2 linked regions of the Lytechinus pictus genome follow. The protein of the gene in region 2 binds, or shares a complex with, the protein of the main gene of each other region. Links are inferred from orthologs where the notes say so. Each region holds a gene or a part of one and is shown on either strand. Other genes may lie near its edges.

Region 1 (8,754 bases), on a different chromosome or scaffold from region 2:
ACAGTCAACATCATACACATTAAATTGTTTGTACATTTTATTTTCATATGTAATCTCTGTTCTGACATCACTTAACCTGAACGTAGAACAAGAGTGTCAGTCAATGATTGAACCATAGAGCCAACCTTGTAAACCTCTTTCTCAGTCAAATGAGAAGACACACAACAAAAGCAAGAAAAAACACACATTACAAGAATGACAAAAAAAGTTCATTGGGATAAATGTTGCATATAAATATACATCTGATTGTTTGTCTCCTTAGTTGTGGTTTTGGTTCCTCAATCCATTTTGTAATCAGACAAAAAAAGTTCCCCTTGTATGTCGAAGAGCTTTTTGCAGTGCTCCCCTACCGCTCCCCTTATAACTTGTATAAGAGTTTGTTATTGCTCCCCTCATTATCATAATATGAGTCCCCGCATATATTATTGTTTTAAAACATTTATTTGAAACAATGAATTAAATCACAATCAATTTTACATGCCAATACAAAATATACCCTATTGGTAAGTCAACAAAATGGTCAGGAATAAAGATATAAATGAGGGGATACATGGGCGGATCCAGGAGGCCGAAGAGCCCCTTTACTCCAATATTCTTTTTTCTTTTTGCTCTGCAGAAAATGCCCCCTTCTGAACTGTTCAAACCCTGCTTGTTTCTTCCCTGGGAGCTACAACTGATCCTCAATTCAGATTTTTGTTATCATCATTAGGCCTATAAATGTTATTTGTTTCTAAATTTCAGGAAGGAAAGAGGGCCTTTCAAGCATTCTTATACCACAAGAGAACGTTAGAAGAAAATGCCTGAGACTCTGCAGGAGAGAAAACCAACTTATAATATTTACTGTCATTGTCTCCACAACGGATGATCGATTTTATAATGGTGATTCTGAGTAATCTTCTCGACACTTTTTAAAATTATTATAAATGTTTATGATTTCTAGATGTCTACATAATTGTGAACGAAAACCGATTTCTTCTATAGGTCATTTTTTCCAGGTTACAGGGACCGTTTAACATGTTTAAGATCGCATAGCATATGGGACATCTGTTTGTACTGTAATAAATAATGAAACTATTGACATACATAATTCATTTTTAAAATTGAAGGTCAAGTCCACCCAATAATTTTTTTTATTTGAATCAATAGAGAAAAATCAAGCAAGCATAACATTGAAAATTTCATCAAAATCGGATGTAAAATAAGAAAGTTATGACATTTTATAGCATCGGTTATTTTTCACAAAAAGGTTATATGCACAAATCAGTCACATGTAAATGTGAGAATCGATGATGTCCCTCACTCACTATTTCTTTTGTATTTTATTGTTTGAATTATACAAATATTTCAATTTTTACAGATTTGACAATAAGGACCATTTTGACTAAACCATATTAATGTTAAACACTGGTAATTCCATATGTTTAGGGAGAAATAAAACTTTGTTTCACAGGACAATGGGGAGAAAATTAGAATATTTTATATAATAAAATACAAAAGAAATAGTGAGTGAGTGATGTAATCAGTTCCCTCATTTGCATACCTACCGGTATAAGCGAAATTTATAATGTCATAACTTTCTTATTTTACATCCGATTTTGATGAAATTTTCAGTATTATGCTTGATTTTGATTTTATTCTTGTTATTTGAATTAACTTTTTGTTGGGATGGACTTGTCATTTAAGTATAAATGTATGAATCTAGATCATATACATTAAATATTTTGTGAAATATACAAATATTTATAAACAACTATAGCATGAATTGATGTATTTAGAATTTAAACATGTTTTATTGTCGAAGATTTTTTTTTTTATGATTAGAAACTAGCTGAAAGATATTTAACCTTGCCATGCTTGTGGATCCGGATTTAAATCTAAAAGATTTTGACTTGAAGCTTTTGAGATTTGTCAGGACCATGATGTAAAACAGTTTTTTAACTGATCTTGTCATCCTGAATAAATATATTTGAATAAATAAATAAATAAAAGTAAATCATTTGGATTCAAAATTCGGATGCTCTCAACTGAATTATGCACAGCCGCTCATTTTCATATATTCGATGAAAACATAACAAAACTTTAGAATGCAAAAATAATTTGCATTATTTTGGAATAATTGTTAAATAATCATAGGGTGAGTATGTGTCATGATCTGGGCCTTGTCTCACAAAGAGTTACGATCAATCCGATCAATCACAACTATATGGATGGCAAACAACATCAACTAAAAAAAAATCAAATTTGTTTAAAATATTCTCTAGATATGATGTACTTTCATATATTTTATAGTTCTATTGAAGATTCAGTGTGATTCTCTTTGTTTTAAGGAGATTGTGCGAATTCCCTATAGAAAAAAATTATGACACTGATGGATTTCCATAGAGTTACGATTGATCCCACCTGCTGTAACTCTACTATGGAAATCTATCAGTGTCATATTTTTTTCTACAGGAAATTTGCAAAATGTACTTTGTAAACAAAGGAGATCACACCAAATTGTCAAGAAATCAATGAATTTATGGATATACATTCATATCTAGAATTTAGGTAAAAAATAAACATGCATTTTGTATGTTGACTTTGCTGGCTTTCCATATTTGCGATTGATTGAATCAATTGCAACTCTTTGTATGACGGGACCCAGCTCTCGCAGAAGCTTGTTACGGATTCTCTAATGAAATCGGTCCCTTATTTGTACACCTTTTTTTTATAGATTTTTTAGATTTTATTTCCGTTCAACAATTTTTTCAAATTTTTCCACCTCCTGGAATTTCAGGGTTGATTTTTTTCTCAGTGTATAAAAATCATTTTTTTTGTGTTGTAGTCTTGACCTTTAAGATACAAATAGCAGATTTGAAAATAAATTTTAAAAAATCGACATCATGAAGATTTACTATTACATCCTAACTATTAATGTATAACTGTTTTACGAAAAGTGGTAACCAAGAAAAACTAGAACTTTTGAATTTAATTCGAAGTTTTATTTCTGTTTTTTTTCTTCATTTATTCAAATCATTCTATAGATCTAGATTTTAACGAGATATATTATTAATTATACAATATTACAACAACGAAAACGAAAGTATAAACGTTTAACTATGAATGGTTATCATTACTAATCAAATAAGGCTTAATGATGATATTTTTAAGAGCCTTAGTAACACTAAATTATTTCCATCGTCATTTTCAGATGTTCTGTAAAATTTTCTAATGAGGGTATTTTGTTTTATTTCGTGTAATTTGATCCTTTGATAATGGCCATCAGCCCCGTAGCCAGGATTTTCAATGGGGGTGTCGATTCCTTCTCTTTCGTTGATGAAAAATTTGACAATAAAAAAAAATGAAAAAAGCGAATTTCTGTTTTTTCCCTTATTTTTTCTTGCTTTTGAAAATTGGGGGGGGGGGGGGTGTTCGATCGGGCCGACCCCTCCCCACCCCCTAGCTACGGGCTTGACCATACAGTTCTAAATTGCATGTTCGTATTACATTAATTGTATCTCGTGTGTAACTCTTTGCGAGTTAATTAATTATGTTTTGTTTTTTGTTTGTTTTAACTAAATCAGTATACTTCTCCAAAAAGTATTGCCTCGATAGACTGATGCTGATTGATTTAATGAGTCGATCGCAGCGGCAGATCAAGCCAAGAAAATTAGATTCATTGTATGATTATTGTTATACGTAACGATTGTGTAATCAATAAAAAGTTTCAAAAGGACACACAAAAAAAGCATGTCTATATAGCTTTGGTGAAGAGTACTTGAGAATCATAGTGTTCAAATCTCACAAAATAATGTTTAATGGCGTGCTGTTTAACACTTGAATGGGAGAGTTTGTTTATATCCAGCACACTTTCTTAATATTTTTGTTGTTGAAAAGGAGAATTGAAGACCTATCTGTAAATAGGATTTCAGAAAGCTAACCACAAAGACCATTTTATACCAATTTATAGCAATTGAGTCTTGCAACTCTGGTTTGACTGCTCTCCATGCAAGAGAGTGGAGAAAGTGCATACATTATGTGCAGGAGGAAACCCCCAGATTTTGAACGGGCATCCGATCAAAACAAATTTTCTTGTAAAATTTTTAAATACACCCATTAAACTGAAGCAAGGGTTTACTATTTATCATTCCATCCACACCAAGACAGTTTTAGGAAATTTATACAATCATTATGTGTGCAGTGAAAAGAAAAATATAGGGATATTAGACATATTGTAGGCCTAATTTTAGAACTCGAAGAAAAAGAGTATAAAAAGGTCTGGGGCCATATGTAACTCGATCATTTCATTAAGAAAATGACCTCTTGCACTCGAGCTCCTTTAAATAATCAGAAGCCTGTATTTCATGAAGTACGTTTGTGCGGGATAGGAATCTAAGGGATCGAGTCCCGGCCGAAAACTACGTCTAAAATATTTCCTTTTTGTAAGCTTTATACCCATGCCTCCCCCCCCCCCCCCGGGCACCCATGATACTGTTTCTTTTCTGTTTCTCCCTTTCTTTTTTTCTTTTTGTTTGCCAGCCGATTGGACGCTCATTTTCACACTAGTGCTATTATAAAATCAAACTTCAATAAAGATGGGTGGGGGCTTGTGGATGCTTGTGCTCCATATTTTTCACAACCAAGAAAAAAGGTAAAATAGTAGGGTGTATTATGATAATGTTTTTTTAATATTATGTTTAAAAAATCTATTAAAAAATTTGATTCTTGTAATTTGAATGGTCAAAATTCACAAATATATGCCACATCTTGCCCCCTAATTTTTTTGGGGGGTCATTACGCCACTGATCTCAACAGAGCATTTTCCTACAAAGGCCCTATTTCTTCCCCTCCCCCTCTAATTCCTTTTTTTTCTGGGGGGGGGGGGGACATCCGACTGGAGTCCCCACCCCACCCGAGCTGCGATGTCTGAATGAGATATCCATGAGCTCCATGAGATATCTATGAACTTCCGATCGGCAGTGTGTGGATTTGGAGCGAGCAAGCTGAGCTGTCATATTTCGATAGAATCCCCTCGCTTTATTGGTTAATTTTCGATAGAGATAATTGCGCAAATACGGTGCTGATTGGCTGCCGTACTTGAGAGTCTGATGGTTTGTTCTCATGCCGAGACTCCAAATTGCATGCCCGCCACCTAACCATTATATACTATAAGAAACCCATCCCTTCAGCCAAAGCCCGGTTAGCTCAGTCGGTAGAGCATCAGACTTTTAATCTGAGGGTCGCGGGTTCGAGTCCCTCATCGGGCGGGAGCAAATTTTTTTTAAATTTAATTCCTCGGATTTTTTTTGGTCATGAATGTTATTTTTCCGGTGTTTTTCCCAGCGTCACGAAAAATTCGACTCCATACGAAGAAACACTACCGAGAGTCAACTCCTACTGAAAGTCAAGCCAAGGCAGCAAAGTCAAAGACAAGGCTTGTCAAGAAAACAGTCCCATATGGTTACATTCGCGTGAGTGCGGTATACCGGTACCGTATTATCAACAAACGCAGACGTTCAGCAACTGTCGACGTGGACTGCTCATTTGTGGATGATAAATTGCAAAATTCAGTGAATTATAAACAACAAGATACAGACCTTCAGAATCGCCGTAACAGTCACTAACATAAAGGTTAGTGACGAGAAATAAGCGTGTATTCCACTTTGATCTGTTTAGTGTTGGTACCGGTACTAGTTTTGACGATGTTTTTATTAGGGGCCGAACGTTAGATCTAAACAGTCATGATAGTGTGACTAGTTGCCGGTAGGTAATCGGTATAGCCTACCGGCAGTACCGTATGAAAATCTATCTGAGACTGAGACCTGAGTGTCTCGCTGGGGCTTCTTTGGCTCATGTGTAATGTGAGTGAGTGTATCACAGAACTGTGATTTTCTGTATGGATATGTGTGCATCAGAATTGTATTCACTGGTGATCAAAATGGCATGCAGTGTTGTAACTTGTACTTGTAGTCGACATTATTATATGCATCTTCAGAAATGCTGTCCGGCGATTGATAAATGATTTTAGATTTACTTAGCATGCTTAGGCCTGGCCTGGTCTGGCCTTGCCTTGGCTTGGCTTGGCTTGGAAATGGAATTAGTCTATAGATCTAGATCTAAGTTAGTCTTATTACAATACTATTACTTATTAGAATTTAAATAACATAATTTTTTTTTAACTCACTGAGAGTGAGACACTGCACTGTGCAGTGCCCTTACGCAAGTTACGGAAGTTAGAATTAGATTGGTCCCACCTTAATTGAATGGCCCTTAAGTAGGCACTTCAGTTGCGCGAGCGATCATGCGGACAGATCAGCTGGACGTAGATTTTGCATTGCAGTGAATGGTGAGCGCATATCTAACACAGACAGTTCGCTAGCTATGCTCGTCACTTCAGCCGAGTGCTGGAGTGGCATTATGAATACATGTAGCTCGAAAAAACAGTCAGTTTCTTCCTTTTATTCCGCTGATTTTGATTGGTTAAAAATTCTTGTGGTTGCTTCTTACATCTTCTGTAAACATCGGAATTCGGAAATATACAACACAGAGTTTCACTTACCTTCGTGCGATGGAAAGACCTACCTAGGCTACATACAATATCAACATGATCAAAGGAAAATGAAACCTTTGGAACAAGATACATGTAGCTGATGTGAAAACAGAAAAGTCAAAGAAACAGATCAACAAAAGTTTGAGAAAAATTGAATAAATAATAAGAAAATTATAAGCATTTGAAGTTTAGATCATTATTGTAATGTAGATCCTCCCATTGGCAATGCAACAATGATGCGTGATGTCACATGTGAACAACTTTCCCATTGCATTTGTATATATTTCACTTAAAATGCCTCTTTTATCACATCTATCAGTTGATTATGAATTCTTTCTATATGAGGGCTTGCAATACAGATTTTCAAGTAATATATTGTGGATAAAGAGTTTGAATCACCACAAGCAAGAGCCAAAAGAGACAGTTTAGGGGTATTTTATAGTCCATCAAATGGAAAGTTGTTCACGTGTGACATCACACATATTTGTCGCATTGCCAATGAGAGGATCTCCATAGCATTAGTGATCGCAATATTCAAATGTTCATAACTTTCTCATTATTTGTCCGATTTTTCTCAAACTCTCTTTGTTCTTATTCTTTGATTTTTCTCTTTCCATACAAGTCCACTTGTTCCAAGGGTTTCATTCCCCTTTAAGGTATTTCTTCTCTTTGCTTGTAATCGCCTTCTTGTATCATCGGATTTTAGTAAAACTCGGTGTATAATTGCATGAGAACATTTTATGAAAGTTTTATCGAATTTTGTTCGCAAAGAGCCAGCGGTTTTGAACTTCAATTTTGAGTGTTGTGAGGTGTTTTCAAATCTGACTCACTGATCAAGCAGGGGTGTTGTTTTGACCGTAGGAGAAGCTGTGAGTGACGTCATCCCCGCTGCTATGGGCATCGAGATTAGTCTGGATATTCAGACACATTTGGTTTCATTTGTTGTATATATTTTTAAATTACGATTTGAGCTCTCGTAATTATGAAATTTTAATTGTTATTTTGAAAATAATTTTGTAGAATTTGTGCAAAATAAGTATTCAGAGCAAAACTTTAAGTAAAATTCAAGAATTTTGTTTGATACATGTAAGTGATTTTTTGTTAGAATGCGTCTGAATGTCTAGAATATGGTATTGTTAATGGAAGTCCTATTCTTGAATGGCACAGGAAGCCCTTTTCATGAATTTTAATTTAGAAAAGGTTTGAGATGTTTCATGAATTTGATATCTGATTATAGACCTTTGTTATGGTGTTAATTATTATTTCGAAGAAATTATGAAATAATGAGATAAGACAATAATGAGGCAATAATGATGAGACAATGATAATATTATTGAGACAATGAAATAATTATTTGATAATTATTATAAAAATAATTATAATTATAGGCCTGAAAATTATCGAGATAACAATGATAATAATTATTATTATAAAATGTAATTATAATTATTATGATAATTATGATTGTACAGGGGTGTGAGACAATATTAATGAGACAACAATAATAATTATCATGAAAATAATTGTAATCATAATAATAAAAATGATTATAATTATAGGCCTAATAATTATTTCGACAATAATATTTTTTATTACAATAATAATTAAACAACCTACACGAGAGGATGCAGAAAACAGCATGTTCATGACTTACATATTCTATATAAATTCTATTTTGACTGGACGCCCTATTCCTGGAACGCCGTGTGCAGCGCTCTTTACATCTTAAGCTTTTTCGAAACATTTCATATACTTTCGTTAGCAGATCTTTGTCGTCACTAAATAACGCTCGTTTTTAATGTTGGCATTTTTTATTTTTTTGGGGAAATACATGGATACAACACTTAATGGTTTAACTTACATATCACTGACTTGAAATTAAAAAAGTTGAAACTGATTACAAAGAAAATACGTTTTTTTATTATATGTCACGTGATTGATGACGTTTTTTGACCCCTGTACCATAATACGTTCGGGGGGAGCCACTTCCTTTCAAAGATGCACAACATGATTGTCCAAGAAAACTCGTAAAGCCGGTTTAAGTTTCATCGTCGGGCGATATCTGTGCGTACAAAAGAATGGGTATCAATAGCAACAAATTTATTATTCTTTATTTTCAATGAATACTCAGGAGTTGTTGTTTTTAGTAGGTTTTCTCATAGTGTAAACAACGTCCCCCGGGTACAGAGGTTTTGTTGCTCTCGGGTACTCTCCGATTTGAGAAT
Region 2 (8,704 bases):
TTTTCAGAGTTTAGTGCTGATTCAGTTTTATATCTGTTTTTTTAAACCCGGGCATAATTAGGGTTAGGGCATAACAGTTTAATTAGTTATGACTTCACATGATTAATGTTAAGAGGTATAAAAACATTATATATGTATGATTCTCAGACAGAATTTATTAGAAGTTGTTTTCATACTTTGAAAAATGAAAGTGTTGATAATTTATGTGAAATAAATGCCGTATCTACGTGCTAGTAGCTCGGCAGGCTATATCCCAAAATAGTGTATATTTTGTTATTTTGTCAGAGTGACATCTGGATGTGATGGTTGCTATGGGTGATATTATGTGGTAAACGATGTTAGGATGAACTACAAATCGCACATGGCATCAAAATCCTTGATTAGAGTCTTCCAAAATTAGATGGGGTCCAAAACTAATTTAATTTGAATTATTATTTTTTTTCCAGATATTCATTGAATCTATTATAATTTCCCTAAGTAATGATTTTATTTATATTATTCATACTATTTATCATATTACGACTCATTTTTAATGTGAGTTATATACGTTCGGTACAGTGTATTTTCATTTGTATTGTTCTTTATTGCTCTTTGCCCGCCAATTAGATAATGAACGCGCATGTCACTGTCCCAAGAAATGTTTTTAGTCATCACAGTGAATACTTTATGAATTTGTTGTACATGTGCTTAACAATTACGATTTAAAATAAAATATTATTTGAAATTAATCTGTGTAAAGGAGAAAGAGAGAATATGAGGGTCGTCATGGGCAATGTAAATGGAAATGATGGGATGTTTGTGGGGGAGGGGATTGGCGAAAAGAAGTCAATGTTCGGAGTGAATGAAATTAATATTCATTTATGGATGTGTCTGCTGTGATTGTGGCTGAATAATCTTCATGACAATTGGGAAATCCACCTTGGGTCTGGAGGGGTACGTGATTTAATAGATTTAGAAGTACACATTCAACATAATAACAATACTTTGTTAAACATATTTCTGATAGAGTGGAATTAACAATTTATTCATAGATATTCATTTCAAGTATAAATTATTGAAGTTTATATGTTTGAACGTTTTAGAGGATATGTATTTCGTTTGTTCACGCCCACATGAGTTGCTAGTATAATTTGAATATCGTTGGATGAATTGTTTGATTTCACCTATGTCTTTACAGGTTTATAGGCAAGGGGCTACGCATACGGTCCGTAGATCAACGTAGTTGGTCATTGACATAAGAAGCAACATGCATTCACAAAATTAATCGCACTTTCTAAGGATGTAGAGATCTAGACATTGGAAAGTATGGAGTAAATTTATCAATATTATCGATGTGAATAAATCTATAAACTGTTAGTATAAAATGAGATTGACTTTAATTCCTTTCCTTTGACATTTTTTTAATTGATATATCAGTAGTGCCTTAATTTTCTGCTTCAATCACAATTCGCGCAACCGTTACGGCTGTGGGGCCAAAGAAGCATTAAATAGACATAAAAAAACTCATTAGGTCAACATAGATTTTGTTAACGCACATTACATATTCTGAAAACCATAATTCATAAAATGACTGTTCGCGCAAATTTAGTTGCATAAAATTACATCACCGTATCCAGATGCCGTATCGTGGGATACGATGAATTTTCATGAGCTGATGACGTCACAAATCAGTTTTTTTTCTTTGCGTTTGCTTATCCTTGAAAATATTTTGCTAAAAGCAATTTTAAAATGATTCGTAAACATTTTTTTTACCTTTCAGCACAACTGCACATGCCAAGCATTAAAAACTCTTATTTTAAGAAGTTATCATGTTTTTATGCTGTAACTCTCATTCAAATACTTCACCTGACTTTGACATTCCACGGCAGGTTCATTTCACTTTTGTCTAGGGGTGGCCATTTAATTATTTTTATCACATGTCATTGCAGTTGTCAGTGCAAAGACTTTTAAAGATTTTTAATCTGTCGGCCTCTAGAAATTTGGAATGCGTCCGTTTTTTTCGACTTCATTCAGCAAATGAGCATGGAAATATGACTCCTGAAATCCTTTAAAATCAGAAACATCGTTCATGACTCAGGTAAGCAAAGTATCATATTCGAAATTCATTCATCACAGATTAATAATGTAAAAAAAAAAAATAAGGCCAGATTTCATTTTTTAATGCATCTTTTTTGTACATTCTAATCATGTCATGACCGATGACTCATGAATGCTGAAACTGAAAGAATTAAGAAACACAACTATTCCCGATGACATCATAACGCGCGTGCATGATCATGATGATTTATTTTTATTTTTTGTAAGATAGTAAGTGCAGCACCCACAGTGGAATCCCTACATTTAGCCAGGACCATCATGGCTAGATCTGTTGAAGGAAAGTATTTAATCTGGGGCCAGGGGGTGAAAATTTCAGTTTTTTCGCGGTACATGCACATGATGAATGGGACGCAATCCCTGGCCTAGTAAGTGGAGAGTAAGCACACATTAGTGAATGATTTTTACTATCTAGCCTAGGTCTAGGACTAGGAGCCTCCTGGCTACACACACGAGAGAAGAGAGGTGATTAAGTCGAAGCAAATTTCACGATAAGGCCACTAGTGACTAGTCACACAAATGGCTGCGATGCTGTCAAATTTGGTGATTTTTCTCTTGTGCAATATGAATTACCGCAACACGAAATCGTGATATTCTCCATCCAATACATGTGCAAAAGACATGCTCTGTTGTGGTCCAAGGTTTGCATGTTGCGCTACAGTTCTATTTCGGTAACTTACCCAAATGTTCCCTGGCCTATCTTTGCTAATTTTTCATATTTAGTGACTTCTTCACAATATTTGAATTCCATGGATTCTCCCCCTTTTTGATACGGGGCCATTGCCATCTTGTATCCTTGATTAGCTGACGATTGACCGGGTGGTCCAGAAAACGTCGACGCTTTGCTTTCAGCCATTTTCACATTTTCGTTGAAATGAAAGAAGCGAGTACTCGAGAGCTAGTACAGTGCAGTGCATGCAGTGCATGCATGGGATCGGAATCGATATTAATTTCAAGGCTTTCGATTTAAAATATGAAACTATAGTTGTTAAGAATTCAAAGACTTCAAAGAACAACTGAAATTCATGACGCTTTTCATTTCTTTTGAAAATGATTTAAGTATCTATTTTAATGATGTCGTTTGGAAATAGAGAAACAAATCTAGTGAATTTTTTTTTTTAAAATTAGGGTCTGGGATTTTTCTGTCATTCGTGTTCAACCAATCAAAATACTCGTATCGGACACACCTCCAAACCTGTATCCTGTATCTGTGTGGACTGTGGTGGCTGTGGCTGTGCTGTGGGGAAAACCAAGGACATTAAAAGTGTTTTTAAGTCAATAACTACATTTTTTTTGCTGACCGGATATCTTAAGGTGAGTATAAATTAATATGGAATTTTTGCATGTTGTGGAAGTTCATTTCTTTTTATTGAGAGCTTCTTAAACTTTGTTTGCCTTGAGCTGCCTCACCTCACATGCCTCAGTTGTTGTGAATGTGAGTTGACACTGAGTCTGACACTGACAGGCAATACATATGGTGCCGTGGTCCCCTAACTTAAGTTACCCAGGGGCCGATTGCACGAAAGGGTCTTTCCAAGGACCGTCTTTCGTGTCGCCCATCTTTTATGATGCGCTGTAAGCGGGGTGTTTCTGAAATTTATGATAAACAAATAAAATTCGTAAGCTTGCTTTTAAATCAAATTTTATACAAAATGAGATATCACATCATTTTATTAACAAATATTTTGTTTATTTTAACGGACAAATAAAATATATTTGCAGATAATTTATTTGAAATGCGTTTTACATGGCGTATCATAAAAGATGGGCGACACGAAAGACGGTCCTTGGAAAGACCCTTTTGTGCAATCGGCCCCAGGGAGCCCAGGCCAGGGGCCTGTTTCACGATGAGCTTGGGCCTGTTGCATGACGAGATGAGCGATACATAGGAACGTCCTAGCTAGGACCATTCTTCCGAGATAGGAAGATTGGCGACAAATCAGCGCTTTCCGGGTCATGAAGGCAATTTTGTCTTCCAAGTCCGCGACATCGTTTGAAATTGATACTAACAGTTATACTTATTATACTATCAGAAAAATATTTAGTCTTCATCATCACCTGAACCTTTTATTTCGGAATGACGACTTTTCATAAAACCATATATTTCAATAAATGGAGATCAAATAATGTTTTATTTATTACTGATTGTAGAATTGATCATTGATGTATGGAGCTTACTTTATTTATAAATGAGGTAAAAAGAGAAAAATAATTTTTTTAAAGATTCACTAACAAACTGGATAAAATCGAGATTTTCATTATTTCCCTTTAATAAATGGATTTGTTTAGAACACAATGTCCTTTTAGTCTTTAGAGACACCTTTCATTGATATTTTAACGAAAGAGACCCTTGTCCGACATAAAAATTGAATTGACTAAGTAATTTCGACATAGTATTATTTGTTCAATAATCTGTATTTTCATAGAATACTTATTTATAATGATAATTTTGCAAATTATGCATTAAATGTTATTTGTTGAGGTAAAATAAGGGTTTGAATGGAGTAAACAAAGTCAATGTGTCTGATTGTATGAGACTAAAAAGGAAAATATGAGAGACTGCATGTAAAAAATCTAATTTATTTATTTCATTTGTCAGATATAACGCAAGAAATACATGTGAGTGTTTAGAGTAGTATAAACATACCAAGACAAGCAAAATATGAAAATTGGTGCAAACATGTCCAAGTGGGTAAAGTAGTGCTTTGCAATAATAAAACATAGAAAAATGTGTGAAATCAATCCGCAATGGAAAAAATACTATTTACAGAAACAATGCTAAAAATGACAACGATCATAAACGTTTGTCATATTTAAGTTGACAACTTTATGGAAGTTTATATAAGAATATAAACTTTAAGAAAATAAAAAATATAGATATGTATGTTCAACCGATTTTGATTAAACTTTTTTTAAATCGTTCCTCTCATTTTACTCTTTCCCATAAGATTGCTTCTCTTCTTGGGTTTTGGTTTCCTTTAATTAAAAAAAAAAGGGATGGGGAAAAGACGGAGGGAGAATAATAAAAAAACATATAAAATTATTTGGGCCTATTACCCCGGAGAAGTTAAAATGACATCCGTTGATGACAACTAGCCCCCATATAAAAAATAACTTGGCGCCATCCCAGATAAAATGCATCAGAGTGCAATCGAATGACCCCCCCCCAAAAAAATGTTTAAAGGTGATATGTCAGTGTGGCTTGCCGTAAACGCATTTTCTCTCAATGCCGACGGTGGCGGGCGGTGTGCAAAGAAGATCATGTCTGAAGGTGTCTTTCCAAGGACCATTCTTCCTTGCCCAAATCGGCTTTGTGAAACAGTTGAGCGATATCTCGTTCTTAATACGTAGAGCGGTTCTACCAAAGACCATTTCATGAAACAGGCCCCAGGACTCGTCCGTGTAATATTAGGCAGAGGGTACTCTATAAACTGGGGTAGAATGGGTAGCAATAGCACCCCAAATAAAAGAGGAAAAGTTAATTATGCACTTACCTTGATTATATGGATGAAAGTCTATCGTGACACAGAATCCCAACATCGAGGCACAAACTGGACCCTCAAAAAAAGGAAAAGTTCTGTCTCGTTCGTTCTCCTTTCCAATCTCATCAGCTTTGATGTTTAGTCATTGTTCACGAGTGTACCAGTTAAGGATGCTTGCGCCATCATCCTTGAGAGATTGAAATTTGACAGAACTCTCCCTGACAGGACACAATTGTCTCCCCTAGAGATCCATGACCTGCTTGAGATGTGCCTCAATTCCCTGGGGGGGGGGGGGCAGTCAAATATATTGCTGTACACACGCGTGACCACCCCCTAAACAAGTTTTTCTCTGTGTGCAAAATAGCCCCTTAAACAAGTTTTTTGCAGGCTTTATTTACACATCTTGGCCCCTTAACAAGTTATCGCCAAAATATGACCTCGGGGGAAAAAGCTTGGAAAAAAAAAATACCCTAAACAAGTTTGGCTAGTCTTAAAAAAAAAAGCTTTGGGAAAAAACATACCCTAAATACGTTTGACCCCGCGAATGACCATTGACCAGTCTTTCAAAACCACCCTTTTTCCTGAAAATCTGTGTTTTTGATATTCTTAACGAGTCCACGCGCGGACCGCGTCAAAAACCGAAAGAATACCCCTTTAAACGCGTTTTTTTTGTCATGCGTGTGTACAGCAATATATTTGACTGGCCCCCCGGGCTCAATTCCACCTCTTTCAGATGGAGAGATACATTCTACAGGCAAACAGAGGGGGCTGCCATGGGTTTTTCCTTGTCCCCAGTAGTAGCCAAAATGTTCATGGAACATTTCGAGGACACGGCTCTCCAATCACAAACCCAAAGTGTGGCTTAGATATGTGGCTGACACTTTTGTGGTTTGGCACTATGGAGCTGAGGAAACTAGCAATACAATTTCTTCAGCACCTCAACTCTTAACATGAGTGTATCAAGTTCACCATGGAAATGGAAAATGAGGGGTCTATATCCTTTCTTGATACAAAGATTACGAGGACGGCACAGGGATCCCTATCCCATCAGGTTTATGGCAAACCTACTCACATTGATCGGTACTAGAACTATCGTTCATTCCACCATCCATCAGTGCTGAGATCCATCAACAAGACGTTGGTCAAACGAGCCCATGAGGTTAGTGACCAGATCCACCCGAGAGGTGAACTTGAGCACATCAAACTGTTCTGAAATGTAACAACTACCCCTCACATAAGATCTGCACTGAGCTTCCCCCCTCGCGGAACCGGAGCAGCCTCTCACAAGATTCAGTGGATTTTGAGAGAAGCCGACATTGAGGTTCGTCATAGTTCCTCAAATTCTATCTGCTTCTATCTGCCCTCACTACCCACAAGGACAAGCACAACTCCAAGGACCTCCCTGGAGTTTACCAAATTTCTTGTGAATGCGGTAAAGTTTACATCGGCGAGATGGGTCGTTCCTTTAACACTTGGATTAAAGGAACCTACATGCAAGGCCCATGGTAGGAGAGACGAGAGGGACAAGTCTGCAATCATCGATCATGCTCACACGCATGATCACCGGATTCTCTGGGATGAGAGTAGACTGGTCACCCATGTCCCCTAGTGGCCATCAGCAGAGAGTCAGAGAAGCGTTGGAGATTGAGGAACATAACACTGTTCCTCAAGACAGCAGCCTCCAACTCAGCAATATCTGGCTTACTGTTCTAGACAAAGAGGCTAATTAGTCTAATTAGCCTGCCGGGACGTTCCACACACGTGTGAGCATTGCAGTGTACAGGCGGAAGTGGTGGCTTTTGTCATTCATGCTAATCTTAGCAGGAATGATAATTGACGGCATTTCCGGTCGTCGCTGGTTTTGCGCGTCCAATTTTGTGTGTTGTCACCCACGTCTGCATATGTGGATGTCATGTGACTTATATCTAGCCAATCAGAGACAAGTACCCTGCTAGGTACCGTGCACACGGCACTTTGACAGAGTATATATAAGGCCTGCTTTTACAAACTATGCTCATTCTCCTGAAGATGACAAGAACACACTTGAAACGTCAAGATTGGGTGGTCCTTTTCAGGACCAACACTTGCCCAAGAAACCTTCAGAAATTACATAATTCAATAATTGTAATCTTTTCTAATTTTGTCCTCTATATTATTTTCTCACACTTTGAACTAAAAATTAATGAAATTTTTTTCCAAATGGCTGTTTAAAAATCGATCATTGTCCAGACACACAACCTGTCCGGACACACAACAACTGGGTTTACATGATCCTTGGGTAATACCACATATGAGATCTAGGGGTCAAAAGGTCAAATGATATGAGGTCATGTCCATCTCTTTTTGATTTTTTTTGTTCAACTTGCTCTCATTTCTTTATTTTTTCATCAATTGTGATCACACTTGGTTCAAATGATCCTTGGGTAATACAACATCCATGTGTTGTTGAGGATGATGGGTCAAGGGTCTTCTAAAATATATAATTTTTATAGATATCACAAGGACCAACTTGACTGAACCGTGAAATGTTAAAACAATGGTTAATCCATACAGTTGAGGCCAAAAGTTTACATACACCCATGGAATTTAGTGAAAATTGTTTGCTTGCCAAACATCGTAAAATTTACTATATCTTCAGAAATATAGATATTACCATGATGAATTTGGTATCAAATGTGAGAGCGTATTAAGCTTTTTCACATGATTGGGATGTCGCTGGGATTAAAATATATTTCAGGTGGAATTTTCTTTGAAGAAAAGAAGTAATATTCGTGCCAAATGTATTCTATTGTTTGTTATTATATTTTCAAACATTGTTTCATAGAAATATATAAATGTCAAATCTATTATTTATATTACATTTTCTATCATATGTCACCACTGAACAAAAAAGTGTACCGTAATCTGAAATGTTTGTGTTGAGAAGTAACTAGCACCAACATGAAATGTTTTTGTCATGTTTTTATTTTTAATTTGTCTAAAATATGAAGAATTTTGGGGAAAAAATGACACCTAAATATTTTTCAGCTCCTGATGACAAAGCAATGTTGAAGAGGCATGACATACTCATTAGTTTGATATCAAATTCGTCATGATAGCACAAACATTTTATAAGATACAGTAAATTT

The links.
Region 1: cyclin-dependent kinase 9-like (region 2) and ELL-associated factor 2-like share a complex: the UniProt entries of both Homo sapiens proteins name them as parts of the super elongation complex. The link is inferred for Lytechinus pictus from reciprocal best matches to the Homo sapiens genes CDK9 and EAF2.

The regions. Positions count from the first base shown.
Region 1 is NC_087257.1:29,619,602-29,628,355, forward strand, and holds the start of ELL-associated factor 2-like, read left to right. Parts: upstream 1-5,166; 5' UTR 5,167-5,610; exon of another isoform or gene 5,611-5,840; intron 5,841-8,754. UniProt on the Homo sapiens protein: Acts as a transcriptional transactivator of TCEA1 elongation activity. Acts as a transcriptional transactivator of ELL and ELL2 elongation activities. Potent inducer of apoptosis in prostatic and non-prostatic cell lines.
Region 2 is NC_087259.1:1,407,869-1,416,572, forward strand, and holds the start of cyclin-dependent kinase 9-like, read right to left. Parts: upstream 3,252-8,704; 5' UTR 2,951-3,251; coding exon 2,775-2,950; intron 2,766-2,774; exon of another isoform or gene 2,487-2,765; intron 2,463-2,486; exon of another isoform or gene 2,337-2,462; intron 1-2,336. UniProt on the Homo sapiens protein: Protein kinase involved in the regulation of transcription.